Tribolium castaneum: one gene and its partner. The protein of the gene in region 2 purifies or fractionates together with the protein of the main gene of each other region. This does not show direct contact. Links are inferred from orthologs where the notes say so. Each region holds a gene or a part of one and is shown on either strand. Other genes may lie near its edges.

Region 1 (7,933 bases), on a different chromosome or scaffold from region 2:
TCTCCCGGTGTCCTAATTATCTCACCTTGCAATTACGGAACTGTAAAGTATTTTAGGTTATGTTAAACTACCTCATGCCCTTTATTTTATAACGTTTTGAGCCAATAATGTCGGAAAACAGCAATTCGACTTCTGTTATGTCAGAAGTCACAACTCTGATAAGAAACTGGGAAGATGAACATACGGCGCCTAATTATGACCCCATTCAGACACTCACCAGGTAGATCTTGCCTTAATTTGGCAAATTCTTACCCTTTTGTTGGCAGATTGGCCGAAATATGCGAGGTGGAGACTGAAAATTACCTGAAAATGGATCCTGACCCATTTGATGAACGCCACCCTTCACGAACTGATCCTGACTGCAAACTTGGCCAAATTTTAAAAGCGCTTTTTAGGAAGGATATTTTTATGAACAAAGTATTAACTCTCCACAAAAACATAAAAAGACACACATAAATATTTTTTCAGCTTGTTAACGATTATTTGAGAGAAACGTACTACTCTCGGTCAGGAATCACAGACAAGGATGTTGATCAGTTGAATATTGCAGCTTGTAGGTTGATGCTAGACGTAATGCCTGGCTTAGAGACATCAGTGGTGTTTCAAGTACGTGTCAATTATTTTTTTGGGGGGAAAACTAACGACTAGTTTCAGCCCGATATGGATAATTTGATTCACCGTTTAATTAAATGGACTACAAATTCAATAGAACCTCTGCAAAGTTACGCAACGGGGCTTTTAGCTGCTGCAATGGAAATTCCAGAAATTGCCACACGTTTTAGGTAAGTTTCCGCTTTGGTCTTATCGCAGTTAATTACCAAAAAATAGGGAACAAAACGGACGACTTGTGCCTTTACTACTTCAAAGACTGCGTAGGCTTCAAAATTCCTCGGAATTTTTGACCACGACAAATACTCGACCTTTTGCACACTTATCTTCAATGAAGTCGCCCCCTTATCGCGGTGACGGTGTCGTAAAAGTTTCACCCTCTGGTATTAAAAGGCGTACGTAACGACACCCTATTGTATTTTACCCTTCAATAATTATTCTTACAGCCCGCGAGAATGGAGTTATTCCAAATTCGAAAACAACACTTAATAAAGAAAACACTGATGTGATTAACACTAGTGAGGTAAGCGCGCCTTTTCCTCCTCGTGATATGGTCTCACGTTTAATACAGTTATCAGATTCGGAAAGCGGCCAAAAACGCAAAAAACTAAAGCTGGAGCACAATTCAAGCGAAGCTGATGAAGGCTCTCCTCAAAAACCCTTCCTATTTAACGAAACGAGCAATTCGTCGTGGGCAGAGCTTGAAAGTTTTATGATTGGAACCGTGCAAATTTTTCCGCCAACTATAGCAACGCGTCAAATACTCATTTTACGTTATTTGACACCGTTGGGTGAATATCAGGAGTTTTTGAGTCATGTTTTCGAAAATGACGCTCTTAGTTTGGTCTTAAAGTATGTGAATGTCCGAGCGACTAAAGAAGCAAGACTTGCATTTGAAGCCTTGAAATATCTTGCTGCTCTTTTATGCCACAAAAAATTCTCGATTGAGTTTATTCAAATGGATGGTCTTGAGGCACTTCTGGAGGTGCCAAGGCCGTCAATATCAGCCACTGGGGTCTCGATTTGTTTGTACTATTTGGGGTATTGTGAGGAGGCAATGGAGAGGGTTTGTCTGCTTCCGAAATACATGATCACCAGTTTAGTCAAGTAAGTCTAAGTTATACCTTACAGTTTGTAAAATCAATTAAAACTCATAATTTAAAAAAAATCTTAGGTATGCTTTATGGCTTTTGGAATGCTCACACGATTCGGGCCGATGTCATGCTATAATGTTTTTCGGTCTCACGTTTCAATTCAAAGTGATTTTGGAGGAATTTGATGCTCATGATGGGTTACGAAAGTTACACAATGTGGTAAGTTTATCCCAAGTAAAAAAAATTGTTTGCTAGAGTTATATGTACAGATTTCTACTTTATCAATTTTACTGCCGGACACCGATACGACTCAACTAAACGAAGATCAAGAGTGCGCCGCTCGTCAAATCGTTCGCCACGTTTGTGTTGCATACCGTCGTTACCTTGAAGCTCATCTAAACCTAAAAGTAGAACCAATTAAAAGATCACAACTTAGACTTAACGAAAAAATGGCACAGCCGCCTTTACCGGCGCAGCCGAGCTACAAACCGTACAAGTCATCGCCTGAAGAGGTGCAACAGAACGTCGAAACGTTGTTGCAATATATGCCGTTTCGGTGCCATTGGACGCCAGTTGATCAGTTACTCAAATTAGGGGGAATCACACTCTTGTTGAAAATAATCGCGTTTGCGTATGAGTGGAATTATAGTGGGAGGGCTGAGACGGTCAGGTCGGCTTTGGATACGTTGGCTATTGCGTGTGTGATGCCTAAAGTTCAATTGTTATTTTGTGATAGGGTGGAATTGCCAGAGGAGAGTGCCACAGTTGGTACGAGAAAATCACAGTTTTGGGATTTTTTATTGTTTTTTTCTTCTGTAGGGATTAATATTATTTTGGGGGCCGCTGAGGGTGAAATAGTGGCCGATGCTGATGTACAAAAGGCTGCGCTTCGAGTCATTGTCAATTGTGTGTGTGCCCCCATAAATAGGGTACGTTTTTTACCGTTTCCAGACGTTTGTTTGATTTTTTTGTTAGGTTGGTGGTACTTTAACCCGATATTCGGCCACGGTTAACAGCCCAATTAAGAAAATTAAACTCAAAAGTAGCGAAGAATTGATTCAGAGAGTTTGGGATTGTGTCAGGTCTAATAGTGGTATTATGGTTTTGTTGCAATTAATGAATATTAAAACACCAATCACTGATGCGGACTGTATACGAACTTTGGCTTGTAAAGCATTGGCCGGCTTAGCACGGTCGGAAACTGTCCGACAGATCGTGTCAAAATTACCGCTTTTTACGAGCGGACAACTGCAGAGTAAGTCTTGATACGAGGCGAATCCGAGTGGGGTAACAACTGACTTAATTGCAGATTTAATGAGGGACCCAATTTTGCAAGAAAAACGCCAAGAACATGTGACTTTCCAAAAATATGCACTTGAACTTTTGGAACGACTTTCGGGGAAAACGAAACATCGGGGAAATGACTTGGAAGTTTCTTTAGCCAACATACATAGAGCTAACGTTGTGGCTCAGACTAAAATTCAATTCAATGATCGGCAATTGTTACAACTCATCCACCAACATTTAATTACGAAAGGTTGTCCAGAAACGGCCTCTATGTTAGTGAAGGAAGCAAATTTGGGAAACTCAGTCACGCCCATTTCAACAAATCAACCAACCAAATTCCGATACTCGTCCACTCTAACACCATCTAGGGTAAGTAGCAATTCACCAAAGCTATAATTAAGTGTAACAAATGTCTTAGCTTAAGTTAAATTTCACTCCAATGCAACACCGCACAATACCGCAGTCACCAGTGCAAAAGGAGGAGACATCGTTTATTAATAGTTCCAACTGTACTTCCCCTGCTATTAAATTAATAAAGTATGGTCGTCATTGTAGATAATTATCATATTTTTTGCTAAGAAAAAATTTCAGGAAACACCAAAATCAAGTGGTCGCGACACCACCGGTCCAAAACTCCCGATTACAGAAACAAACGAATAGCGATGTTGTAGTTAGGGTGCCGAGTCAGAGCTTGCTTGACGAACCGACGAATCCACCCGAACAGCCCCGAGTCACGCTCGATTCGATCATAACCGAGTATTTAACCAATCAGCATGCGTTATGTAAAAACCCCATGGCCAACTGTCCCAAATTCAATCTCTTTATGTAAGTTTAAACTCCTATGATTGGTTGTGTTTCTGATGGTGTTTTCTAGTCCACATAAATGCCCAGACCCTAAACCAAAGATAGCCTCAGCCAATAATTTTGTGGTGAGGTGTGCGCGACGTGCTATTGGGTATCAGTCCAAGTCTATGGACCGGAAATTTATTCATTCGAGATTTTGTCCAGTTCAAACGATTCGGTCGTCGTCCGATGGCGATTTCTTCACTTGTGCGAAATTTTTACCGGGTGATAAAAGCATAATCGTGGGTGATTACAGTGGTGATATACGAATTTTTAATCTGCATACTGGAAATGAAGAGTTTATGTTTCAAACGCACGATAATTATATCGTTCATTTGGAGCCTAACAGGAGTGGGGAGTTTCTGTTGACGAGTTCCACGTGGGGGCGGCCTCTGTCCGCACTCTGGGCCATAAGGAACTCCGAGATGAAGTAAGTTTTTTACTTTAAGTCGAACTTAAAATTTTTTTGCGAAACTCGAAAATATCAAAAACAATTGTCTAAAAAATTAATTCAACTCGCAAAGCGATTTTTTTAACCGTTTGTATAAAACCATACAGTTGGTGGTCTGATTTGACCACTCGATGACCAGAAATGTTCGGTTCTGCGAATTTAGCGTCTAACTTGTGGTTTAGGTTTGCGCTGGACGATGAAGAACATGTTGAGTTTAGTAAAGTGACACAGGAGCGGATTGTGGCGACTAAACTTGAAGTTGCAACAGTGAGTAACACTTCACAGTTTGGCAAATTATAATTTTTTCAATTAGATTTACGACGCCGTCACGGGCCAATCAATCTTGCGTTTAGTTCCTACAGATAGTAACCAATACACTAGAAATAAAGCCACATTTAGCCCGTTCGATGATTTGGTTTTATCAGATGGTGTGCTTTTCGATGTCAATTCGGGCAAACAGATTCACAAGTTGGATAAGTTGAATCAGACCCAAAGTGGGGTGTTCCACCCTAACGGCTTAGAGGTACTTTCGCTTTTTTTGCTTAGGGAAATACATAGTTAATTGTAGATTGTATCAAATACTGAGGTTTGGGATGTGCGAACTTTTCATTTGTTGAAAACAGTGCCAGTTTTGAATCAACGTACTGCCGTTTTTTCACCGGTCAATAGTGCGATTTATGCCATTTCGATGGAACAGGAATTGGATAATGGTGACTCGACATTCGATTCGAGTTTTAAAACAGTGGATGCGATCGATTACTCGAGTATTGCTACTATTGACGTTAAGAAAAACATCTACGATTTGGCGGTTAATCGGTTCGATACGCAAATTGTGATTGTGGAGAATCAGGGGGTTTACCAGTCGGTTCAAGAGTCCGTGGTGCGGATCTATGATGTCGGGAGGAAGCGAGACGATGAGGATGAACAAGTAAAAAGTTTAAGTTGTGGTTGCGTTTTTGTTTATTTTTTGATGCAGGATGAAGAGGACGAGGAAGAGGAGGATGATGATATGGATGGGAGTGACGATGACGGTTCCGATAATGATGGTAATTGCAGAAAAGTGGCAAAAGTAATATAATGTTTTGCAGTCGATGTTGATTTTCTAGATCGATTGATGCTCAACGTGGGCGGGAATAACGACAACAACGATAATAACGCCAACAATGATGATGACAATGATGAGGACGATAATTTCTTCGATAGTGAGTCTGATAGTTGGACGACTACGTCGACTGGCTCTGATGATTCGTTCACGGATGATATGTTCGATTTTTGAGCGAACCGTAAAATAAGGTTTAAATGTGATAGCAATTCGAAAATAGTTAATTGGATGAGTGGGCGTGTGTCTGTTTTTTATAAGGAAAACGGCATTTGATGATTTTCCAGCTTGTGGTGTCAAGTGTGTTTTTAAATGTGAGCCGAGTTTGGAATTATGTTGAACATTGTGTATTATATTTCATAAATAAATACAATTTCAAAGGAACAAGCGTTTGATTTCGTGCCAAAAATCCTAGGACATTGTCCCCTTGCGTCAGCACAATTACGACGGACGGGTCAATAAAACCATCACTTTTTACAAATCAAGTTTATTGCTCAGTTAATGTCAAAAATAGCTATAAAAGTGTTAAATTTGCGAATACTGAATTATGAGTAGTGGTCCATCACGTAATAGATCCACTTTAGGTAGTTAAACACAGTGGTGTAAATGCCGTACTTGTTTTTCAAACCACAGCCGTCCCCAAAACTTGTGATGCCTTGGACGCTGTATGCGAGTCTTGAACGCCGTTTGAAGGGGCACATGAGCCCCCCGCCACTGTCCCCGGCGCAAGTGTCGGCCTCCCCTGACGACCAACCAGCACATAACATGTTGGGGGTGATGAGGAAGTGGCGGTAGGAACGGCGGCAGACGCTCGCCGCCACAATAGGAAGCTGGAAAAATAGTATATTAAAAAACTTTTGGAAATTTGGAGAAAAATTATAGCAGTCACCTTGGCCTCGTGCAGCGTGTGGGTGCCGTAGGTGTCGCTGGTCCTGACCTTGCCCCAGCCCATGACGGAGCAAACCTCCGAGGGCCTGGGCCTGGTCTTGGGCAGGCAAGCGATGGGGAGATTAACACTCCTTGGTAGTTGCAGTAGGGCAATGTCATTATCCACCGTTTTGTGGTTGAACTTCGGATGCTGGAAAATCGTGTGAACAGTCATCTCGAGCTCGCGTCCATCTCGAGCCCTTAGGTCATGTTCGTTCAGTCTTACGCGTAAAATCGGACGTATGCAATGACTAGCTGTGAGGACCCAACGTGGGCCTATGAGAGTGCCTCCGCAGAACACTTCCTAAAATTTATAGCCGAGGTTATCAAGCGTTGAAATTGACCCATTTCGGGATACCTACGTAGTATTTGTTTAAAATGGCAACGTGCCAAGGCCACTTGTACTTCTTCGATTCGGTGCCGCCGATGATTTTCAGCATTCGCGATTTGCGGAAAGGCTGCCCACAGCGGCGGCGCTGCGGGAGGCGGCGGTCCAAGTTGTTGTAGTGGTAGTAGCGGTTGCTTTCTTTAAAAGGAAACGAAATCATATGCAGAAACCGCTTTAATGAGGTGACCACAACTCTAATTTTGGAAAACTGCCTAATTTGAAACTTCTTAATCAGCGCACAATGCTTTTGGAGCAGAAATTATTAGGTCTAGAACGTTTTTTTTTACCTGGACTAGAAAAAAGCAAGTGGTAATGTAGTACATTAGTCCGTAATGATTACTATACTTAGAGGGTGATTCAAAATTGGTTTTGTTATAATTAAAATTAACTAATTTTATCCTTCATATTTTTAAGGGACTTGATATTGTATTAATAATCTTTTTGCTAGAGCAAATAGTTTTGGCAAAAATCGCTCGGTTCTAGGTATATTTTCGCCCAACGCTGTGTTTATATATTTTTATCATTATTTACTAACCAGCTTTATGATTATTTATTTATTGAACCGCAAATATTTGAACAAAAAGGGACCCGTTTTCTATTCGTGGATAATTCCTTACGCACCGTATGCGTCTTGGTTATCCAACAAGTTCAGAACGTAGTTTTCACACATGGAATTGTCGTGGTAGCAGTAGGCCGTCTGCTCCTGCTGCTTCTTCCTGCAGCGTCCCGGCTTCCTGCAAATCCTGATCCTCTGCGTCCTGCAATTCTCCGAACAGGGCGACCAGTTGGACCATTTGCTCCAAATGCGAGAAGGCGCTTGACGCAGCAAATGGCTACTATCCTAAGACAATGAATCCGTCTTAAAAAACACACTTGTGAATCCCCCAAACATACTTCGTTCAATTGTACGACCCGGAATTGTTTTTTCTGGCGCGCTTTCCTCTTGCAGCGTTTCTTCCCGCAGGGTTTTTCTTCGTAAATGCGGGAATCCTCGCATTTGGGGGAAATACACTTCTTGATCCTTCTCTGAATGCAGTCGATGCAACGGCTCCAGGGGGACCAAGGCGAGTAGCGCGCTTCGGAAATTTGGAGGTCGTGATGATGGGTCTGAAAATATGGCTTGCGTGACCCAATTTGGAGACTGCTAAATCGATTCAATTGCAGTTGTGCAAGGTTTTAAGGCGGAAGTGTGGGAAAATTGGAGTCATTTCCGGATTTATTTTTGGTTTCGCACA
Region 2 (7,395 bases):
CAAGGTTAGGGTTATTTCTGAACGGGTCTATGGTTGCAGATAATGGCCCCACCACCGTACTCCGATCTCGGCAAGAAGGCCAAAGATGTGTTCGGGAAGGGCTACCACTTCGGGCTCATCAAGCTGGATTGCAAGACGAAGACTGGCTCAGGGGTGGAGTTCAACACTGGGGGTGTGTCTAACCAGGAGTCGGGGAAGGTTTTCGGGTCGTTGGAGACCAAATATAAGGTTAAAGAGTACGGTTTGACGTTCTCCGAAAAGTGGAACACGGATAATACTCTGGCTACGGAAGTTGCGATCCAGGATCAGCTCCTCAAAGGCTTGAAGTTGTCCTCAGATCTGACCTTTTCGCCACAGACTGGGAGCAAGTCAGCTCGCGTCAAAACCGCGTTTACCAACGATAGGGTGGCCCTCAACTGCGACGTTGATTTGGACTCCAGTGGGCCCTTGATCCAGGCGGCTGCCGTCGTGGGGCACCAAGGCTGGCTGGCGGGTTACCAAACGGCTTTCGACACCCAAAAGTCCAAACTCACCAAAAACAACTTCGCCCTAGGTTTCTCCACTGGAGACTTCATTCTCCACACTAATGTGTAAGTGATCAGTGGCGCACTCACAAGTTTTTTGAGGGGGCCAAACATTAATATTCACAAATTTGTATAAAAATTTAAAAACATCTTCTTCGTGGACTCAAAATATGTAAAACTTCATCACAAATTACTTCAATACCGCGGTGGATTTATAAAGAAATTAAACCATTTAATCTATTTTGTCCTGTAGTGTTCAATTTTTTCCGAATTTAAAAATTCTGTAATATTTTTGTAAATCTTTCTTCTAAGTTTGAAATTGCTGAATCTAAAAGAGGGTTGAAAATTGAAATTTAATAATACATTTCTGGCGAATCAAAGGTTACATTGGTTCGATGTATTTGCCTTGAAACTAATCAGAGTACCAAAATTTCGTGTAAATGATTTTGGACGGTTTTAAAAGAATTCAAAATGGGATTCTGCGTCTTTTCGTAATAATTTTAAAGAATAGAACAACTTTAAAGATTTTTTTGTTTCTTTTACCGTTTTATCCAGAAAAAAGTTTACTGACGTTTTATTTTTATACACACCTACTTACGCGACGCATGTTTGTTTTTTTTTAATGTATATATAAACAAGTTTAAAATTTAAATCATGTAACCCCCCCGGGTGTGCCACTGTAGGTGATACCAACCTGACTGTCCCAAACCCCGCCAGATCCCGAGGGGCCCTTTATCTCCCTGATCCCCGTTTAAATCCCCTTTTGTAACGTTTAGTGATCACAGCGATGACGGCCAGGAGTTCGGAGGGTCCATTTATCAGAAGTTGTCCCCAAAGTTGGAGACCGGCATCCAGTTGGCGTGGTCTGCTGGCAGCAACAACACCAAGTTCGGAATAGGGGCTAAATACGACTTGGATCAAGACGCCGCGATTCGCGCCAAGGTCAACAATTCCAGTCAGATCGGTTTGGGGTATCAGCAGCGTTTGCGTGAAGGTGGGTAGTTGGGGGAGGTTGGTCGGGGGTTGATTGGCTTTGTTTGGTTGGCAGGTGTGACTCTAACTTTGTCGGCCCTCATTGACGGCAAGAACTTCAATAACGGCGGCCACAAGATCGGTCTGGCCGTTGAGTTAGAGGCTTAATCAGAGATTCGTCAGTTCCAAATTGTATTAGAACCAAGACACGTTTCAGCCTGCTGTATTGTAGATATTTTAATTGTTCTATGGGACTTTTTAGTATTAAAACATATACATGAATACGTCTTGTATTTTCAGTTTGTAGTAGTTTTAGTGAAGTCGTCCTTTTGTTACCGTTTCCGGATACTTCTCAAAAAATTGCTACTTCCCACACGTGTTTTTTACTTGTGCAAGCTTTTAATTCAATTGTTTTATGATTATGACAAGTATTGTAAAACAAATAAAATGTAATTTACAAAAGACACGTTTCACTTAAGATCCATCTGCTCCTCCATCACCTTACTGATCCATTCGGGCTCGCTTTTTGCGATTGATTCAATGATTGAATTCACCTGGTAGCAGAGAGACTGGATTTGTTTGTCCCACTGGGGCAAAGTTTCACGAGCTGGAACAAAGCGATCAAATACACATCGTAAACAACACCAGCTTTAGTACTTTCAAAGTGGACGATTGAATCGATTTGGTCAATGTAACCGTTCATTCGCCCTTCGGTTATCATCTGACTTGCGATTTTTTCAGCCTTGGAAGGGTGTATTTCGAGCAAAGCTCCCAACTCTTCGAAACTAATATTATTATAAAGTTTACTAGCAGACAGGAGATTGTGTTCGATAACGGCGCGGTCCAGAATTGTTGACCCATCAATGGTGCTCGCCTTTTGGTGGGGCTACAATGAATCGACAGTTTTATAAGAGGTCGCTTAACCTTTGCAACATTGTGATAATAAAGCGTTAGTTAATTCCCGTTAATTAAGCAAGTGATAAGACCTGCAATTACGGCAAACAACTCATGCATCACTGTGTTTACAAAGTGTGACGATATTAAACAATAAAGAGTATTATCCTCAATTAGTTGCTCCGTTGCATCACATTACTTTTTTATTCTCACACGTAAATAACCTCGTGAGATGTTATATAGATGATCAGTTTATTATTAGATTTCTGGAATCCGTCTCGGCGCGCATTATTTCGACGTAGACAAATATCGACGTCAACAGTATTATGAAATTCATTTTTTGTAAATAAAAAATCAATTAAATAAATATGAAATCAATTAAGAACTTTAATTAAATCGTTTTTATTGGTACTAAACCTAAGTCAAAAGTAGACAAAGGTTAAATTTAACGCAGCTTTGCTTAAATTAAACTCACAGTGGAGTTCATCGGCATTTACAAGGAGGAAATATCAGTAGATAACTTAACACACATTTCATTTTTCCCTGTGTGAACTATTTAAAGCACATGCATTACACAAAGTGTAACCGTAATCCGGCTCTGATTAAACAGAAACCTAAAACGTGCTAAACCAGCAATCTTATTTCACCATAATACTTTAATGAGACAAAAAAATGTTCCTAAAATGACATCGGGAATAAATCATCTGAGAAAAAAGTTAGGGTTACAGTGAAACCTCCCATAAGCGGACACCGACATGCTTTTTGTCCGCTTAATGGAAAAGAAATAGCAATTTATATATAAAAACAAACTAAAATAAAAGGCTTCGCTTTTCACAAACGTTACACTTCCATAAAACATGTACTACCTACTTATGTGATTCCCCGATTTTTTTGATCAATTGTCATAATAACTATTAATCACACGCGCGTATGATGTGCTGTCCGCTTAAAGGAGATATTTTGTTTCCAAGGATTTGAATTGCATTGTGCGCGTCCGTTTATTGGAGCGTCCGCTTAAAATACATTATCTAAAAAAAGGCCCGTTTGTCAGAGGGGTCCGCTTATCGGAGGTGTCCCTTAAGAGAGATATTACTTGTGTTGGTATTTGAATACATTCATCTTCATTTTATGATTATACGTTTGTAAGGGTGATAATTAATAATAATAATTTTATTTATAATATTAATAATAATTAATAATACTGATTATCAAATTAACAAATGGTATTAGTATTTTTATTGCTTTTGCAGATTTTCTTTAAAACTTGTTTCAATCAATTTAATTCAAGATGATACTTTTATGTCAATAATTTTTCAGTATTTAATTGTACAAAGGACTCAAAAAAATACAAATTTATCATAGTTATGCAACTAACAATACAACACTTTTTATACACGTACCTGCAACAAGGCCTCAAAATCCCTCAATTCGGACCTCCTGATGATTCTTTCGAGGTACATTTTTTCCAAAATCGCCACTGCTGGCAACTGTTGGCACCTCTCGTCCTTGAACAGTGTGGCCAACATGCGCGATCTTTGTTGCCCCGCTGAAGCCAAAACAGTGCAAACTAAAGCATTCCGAAGGGCTGTCATGCGTTCATCTTCATGAACAATCGTCCTATAGGACAATTCATTGTATCTCTGAGCCGCCTCAATAAACTTCCGCCGATAATCCAAAACTCGAGCATAACAAACTTTGTAATAAATTTGAAGCTGCTCATTCCGTGACTCGGCCTGAAGCAGCGACGCCCGGTTGATGAAAGCCTCAGCCTGGACCGGATCGTCATCCTCAAGATACAACCTCGCGATTTTCAAATACGTTTCAAGTTTGTAATCCACGGTGTATTGTTTCTGGCCGGTTTCGAGCGGGATTCCCACCAGGACAGCTGCAGCCTCGCGCCACATGTGGTTACGTTCGTAGATATCGGCCAAATGTTGGCGAATACTTGCCACCTGCTCCTCAAACGAAATAACCCGGGGTTGCACCTTCTCAAGCATAAAGTGTGAGACAGTTTTGGAAACATCGTCGGGTAGTTTCATCAAATGCGAGCTTATTTCGGTCAGGATTTGGCGCGAGATGACCAAACTAACGTTCTCATTGACAACTGAAACGACTTGAGTTAGACTGGGTTGGTGGCTGTGGGGGGTACGGACTTGCTTCGATGAATATCTGCAAGCCTTCGGTCAGCTCGGGGCCCGAACCGGCGAGGATGTTCTCAAGAATACCGCGATATCTGTTAAAAATTAATGTTTTTTTTAATTTTTTTTACATAACCTCACTTTTCGGCCTGGTCTTTGTGGGAGCCCCCGGACGCGATTATGTTGGAGAGTTGGGTGCGGATAGCCGCGCTTTTCTCCGACATGGTGCTCCGCTACTATTTTGGCCACAAATAATAATAAATTATTTTAATTTAACTAAAAGTAGTTTTTGACAAATGACTGACAAAACAGCAATTGCCAACACAACGCTATTGCCGGTTGTGGTAATTTTGTCTAAAAAACACACTTGCAAGTAAATTGTTGTCTTTGCTCTGTAAATAAATACTTGCGACCAATTGCAAGTACAGTTTACTTTAATTAACGTGTGAATAAGGGGTTAAGGGGAAGACGATTTGATTTAATAGGTTGGCTGCACGTGTTGAAGTCAAACTCAAACGTCACGGATGTTTGCTGTCACCCGCCTTTAAATTAGTCACTTAATTAAATTGCAATAAACAGAAATAGTCCAGTGTGAGTGCGAAAAATGCCTTCTCCGCAACAAAACGAGAGTTCCCCCGAGCCCGGTAAGAGAATTCGTTACTTTCGTCGAAAGTCCATGCTCATTGTTAGCCCCAGAGACGTCCACTTCGAACGACAATAAGGAAAAAGGGGCCACTGTCAACGAAATAATGGTAATAGACCCGGACACCCTTGAGCTGGACCTAAACCATGGCAGGATCAGCAAGCTCGAAAACCTTGAGCCCTTGACACAAATCGAGCGCCTCTTCCTGAGGTGGAATTTGATCACCAAAATTGAGAATTTGGACACGTTAGTCACGCTCCGCGAATTGGAATTGTACGATAACCAAATCGTCAAAATGGAAAATCTGGGATGTTTGGTTAATTTAGAGTAAGGAGTGACTCATTTGTGAATGTTGCGAAATATGGCTTTAAAAGGATTCTAGATTTGTCGTTTAATCGTATCAAGGAGATTGAGGGACTGGAGAATTTGCACAATTTAGAAAAACTCTTCCTGTCGTCGAACAAAATCAGCAAAATCAAAAATGTGAAGCACTTGCAGAAGCTGACAATGCTGGAGCTGGGGGACAACAAAATTAGGGTAAGTGTTTATCCTATGGAGGATAATAACTTAGGAGACGAAACTGCGCCGTATTCCCAGCGTTTTGATAAATGTTATCGCTTAGAATTATCAATTTGCGTTCCACCTTATATTTCTGCGAGCTCTGCGAATACAGTTGAAGATACAAAAAAAGTGTAAGGAACAAAGTTGTAGAGAATAAAATTTTCTACAAAAAAGTCCGCGACACCATATTTCTATCTTTAATAGTTTAGGTACGAATTAACTTTCCAATACTTGACCACCGGCAAAATTAAGGAAATCCGTTGCTTGAGCGTCTTTGAACGACTTTGGGGCCTAAATGGTTCAAGATAGGAACATGGTCTCGCGGACTTTTTTGTAGGAAATTTAATTCTCTACAATTTTCTTCCTAACATTTTTCTTGTATCTGTAACCGTATTCGCAGCGTTTTGAAAAATATCTGACAGAGTGCAAAATTGGTAAAAGTTTACGATAAAATTTTTGCACTGTGTTTATCTCTGAATATTGAGAATTTAATGCTATATCTGCCTGTTTTTTTTTGTTTGCTATGTGTGAACAGTAATAAAAATACAACCATGTTTTGAAATGCGCCCTCTGGCGACATTAACGGAGCTATCGAGGACGAGAACGTTTTATTTGTACGTCGTTTCATATTCTAACCTTTAGATCTTCGTAGTTTATCCTTTGAGTGTTTTCAGTTGTTAGTCATAATCTGTGACTTCTAAAACCGTCCTAATTGCAGGACATAGAGAACCTGGAAAACATGCCAGCCCTGACCCACCTCTACTTGGGCAAAAATAAAATATCAAAAATAAAAAACTTGGACAGTCTGACCAACGTGACGTGTCTGAGCCTGCAAAGCAACCGAATAACGCGTATCGAGAATTTGGATAAGCTCACACAATTGACCGAACTGTACATTTCCGAGAACGGAATTCATAAAATAGAAAATCTTACGCATAACACGTTGCTACAGACCTTGGATTTGGCGAAAAATAAAATAAAGTTGATTGAAAACATCGAGCATTTGAACGACTTGGAGGAGTTTTGGATGAATGATAATGAAGTTTCCGATTGGGGAACTGTCGAGAATTTATCGAAGAACAAAAAGCTGGCTACAGTTTACTTGGAGCGGAATCCGCTCGAGAAGGACCCGATGTACAGGAGGAAATTGAAGATGATCGCGCCCTCTCTAACCCAGATCGACGCGACTTTGTGTCAGTTGTAAAATATTGTTTTGTAAATTAAGGAAACCACCGTTGCCATCTGTGCATTTATGAGTTGATTAGCTAATGAGTAACGATTAATTTTAGGCGTCTAATTATAAACCAATCACCCAATTGTGAAAATCGGTTTTAATTTTGATAAGCCCCTGCTACGTAAAAATAAACCAAATAACAATAAACCCGTCGTGTTATTTCCGTTTGAAATTGAAAGGTTAGCAAATTTGCTGGCACCTGTTTTGTTCTCCAGTAGTTTTAAAAATAGCCAAGCTGGATAAATTCTGGGTTTGTGGGCCAGTTCCTGCGATTTTTCCCATCCAAGCTGACGCGTCACAATGAGCGAGCAGTTCGTCCTGCGATGGCACTACCAAGAGCTCACCCTCCTCAAAAACCTCACCACGTTCCTCGAAAACGACGTTCTCACCGATGTCACCATCTCGGTCGAATCCCACACCGTTAAGGCG

Evidence for each region. The genes of interacting proteins can lie anywhere in the genome.
Region 1: the proteins of CSN4 (region 2) and mahj purify together in Homo sapiens (affinity purification with mass spectrometry; 4 studies listed by BioGRID, with this or other methods). This does not show direct contact. The link is inferred for Tribolium castaneum from reciprocal best matches to the Homo sapiens genes COPS4 and DCAF1.

What each region holds. Positions count from the first base shown.
Region 1 is NC_087398.1:980,912-988,844, reverse strand, and holds the end of mahj (protein mahjong), read left to right. Parts: 5' UTR 1-107; coding exon 108-220; intron 221-266; coding exon 267-417; intron 418-468; coding exon 469-606; intron 607-654; coding exon 655-782; intron 783-828; coding exon 829-1,004; intron 1,005-1,055; coding exon 1,056-1,132; intron 1,133-1,180; coding exon 1,181-1,716; intron 1,717-1,783; coding exon 1,784-1,922; intron 1,923-1,972; coding exon 1,973-2,471; intron 2,472-2,522; coding exon 2,523-2,632; intron 2,633-2,678; coding exon 2,679-2,958; intron 2,959-3,012; coding exon 3,013-3,359; intron 3,360-3,408; coding exon 3,409-3,527; intron 3,528-3,581; coding exon 3,582-3,815; intron 3,816-3,864; coding exon 3,865-4,263; intron 4,264-4,466; coding exon 4,467-4,551; intron 4,552-4,597; coding exon 4,598-4,807; intron 4,808-4,852; coding exon 4,853-5,212; intron 5,213-5,260; coding exon 5,261-5,330; intron 5,331-5,372; coding exon 5,373-5,560; and 2 more. Other genes in the region: trypsin-3, read right to left, coding at 5,929-6,213, 6,273-6,614, 6,673-6,836, 7,320-7,539, 7,593-7,805. UniProt on the Homo sapiens protein: Acts both as a substrate recognition component of E3 ubiquitin-protein ligase complexes and as an atypical serine/threonine-protein kinase, playing key roles in various processes such as cell cycle, telomerase regulation and histone modification.
Region 2 is NC_087399.1:5,889,008-5,896,402, reverse strand, and holds CSN4 (COP9 signalosome complex subunit 4), read right to left. Parts: upstream 7,267-7,395; 5' UTR 7,249-7,266; coding exon 7,166-7,248; intron 7,114-7,165; exon of another isoform or gene 6,937-7,113; coding exon of another isoform or gene 6,451-6,936; intron 5,709-6,450; coding exon of another isoform or gene 5,546-5,708; intron 5,499-5,545; coding exon of another isoform or gene 5,225-5,498; intron 5,173-5,224; coding exon of another isoform or gene 5,133-5,172; exon of another isoform or gene 5,018-5,132; intron 4,893-5,017; exon of another isoform or gene 4,753-4,892; coding exon of another isoform or gene 4,670-4,752; intron 4,624-4,669; coding exon 4,544-4,623; intron 4,495-4,543; coding exon 3,791-4,494; intron 2,383-3,790; coding exon 2,154-2,382; intron 2,104-2,153; coding exon 1,967-2,103; 3' UTR 1,874-1,966; downstream 1-1,873. Other genes in the region: voltage-dependent anion-selective channel, read left to right, coding at 40-590, 1,301-1,518, 1,573-1,664; sds22 (protein phosphatase 1 regulatory subunit 7), read left to right, coding at 5,133-5,172, 5,225-5,498, 5,546-5,708, 6,451-6,936; longitudinals lacking protein, isoforms H/M/V, read left to right, coding at 7,267-7,395. UniProt on the Homo sapiens protein: Component of the COP9 signalosome complex (CSN), a complex involved in various cellular and developmental processes.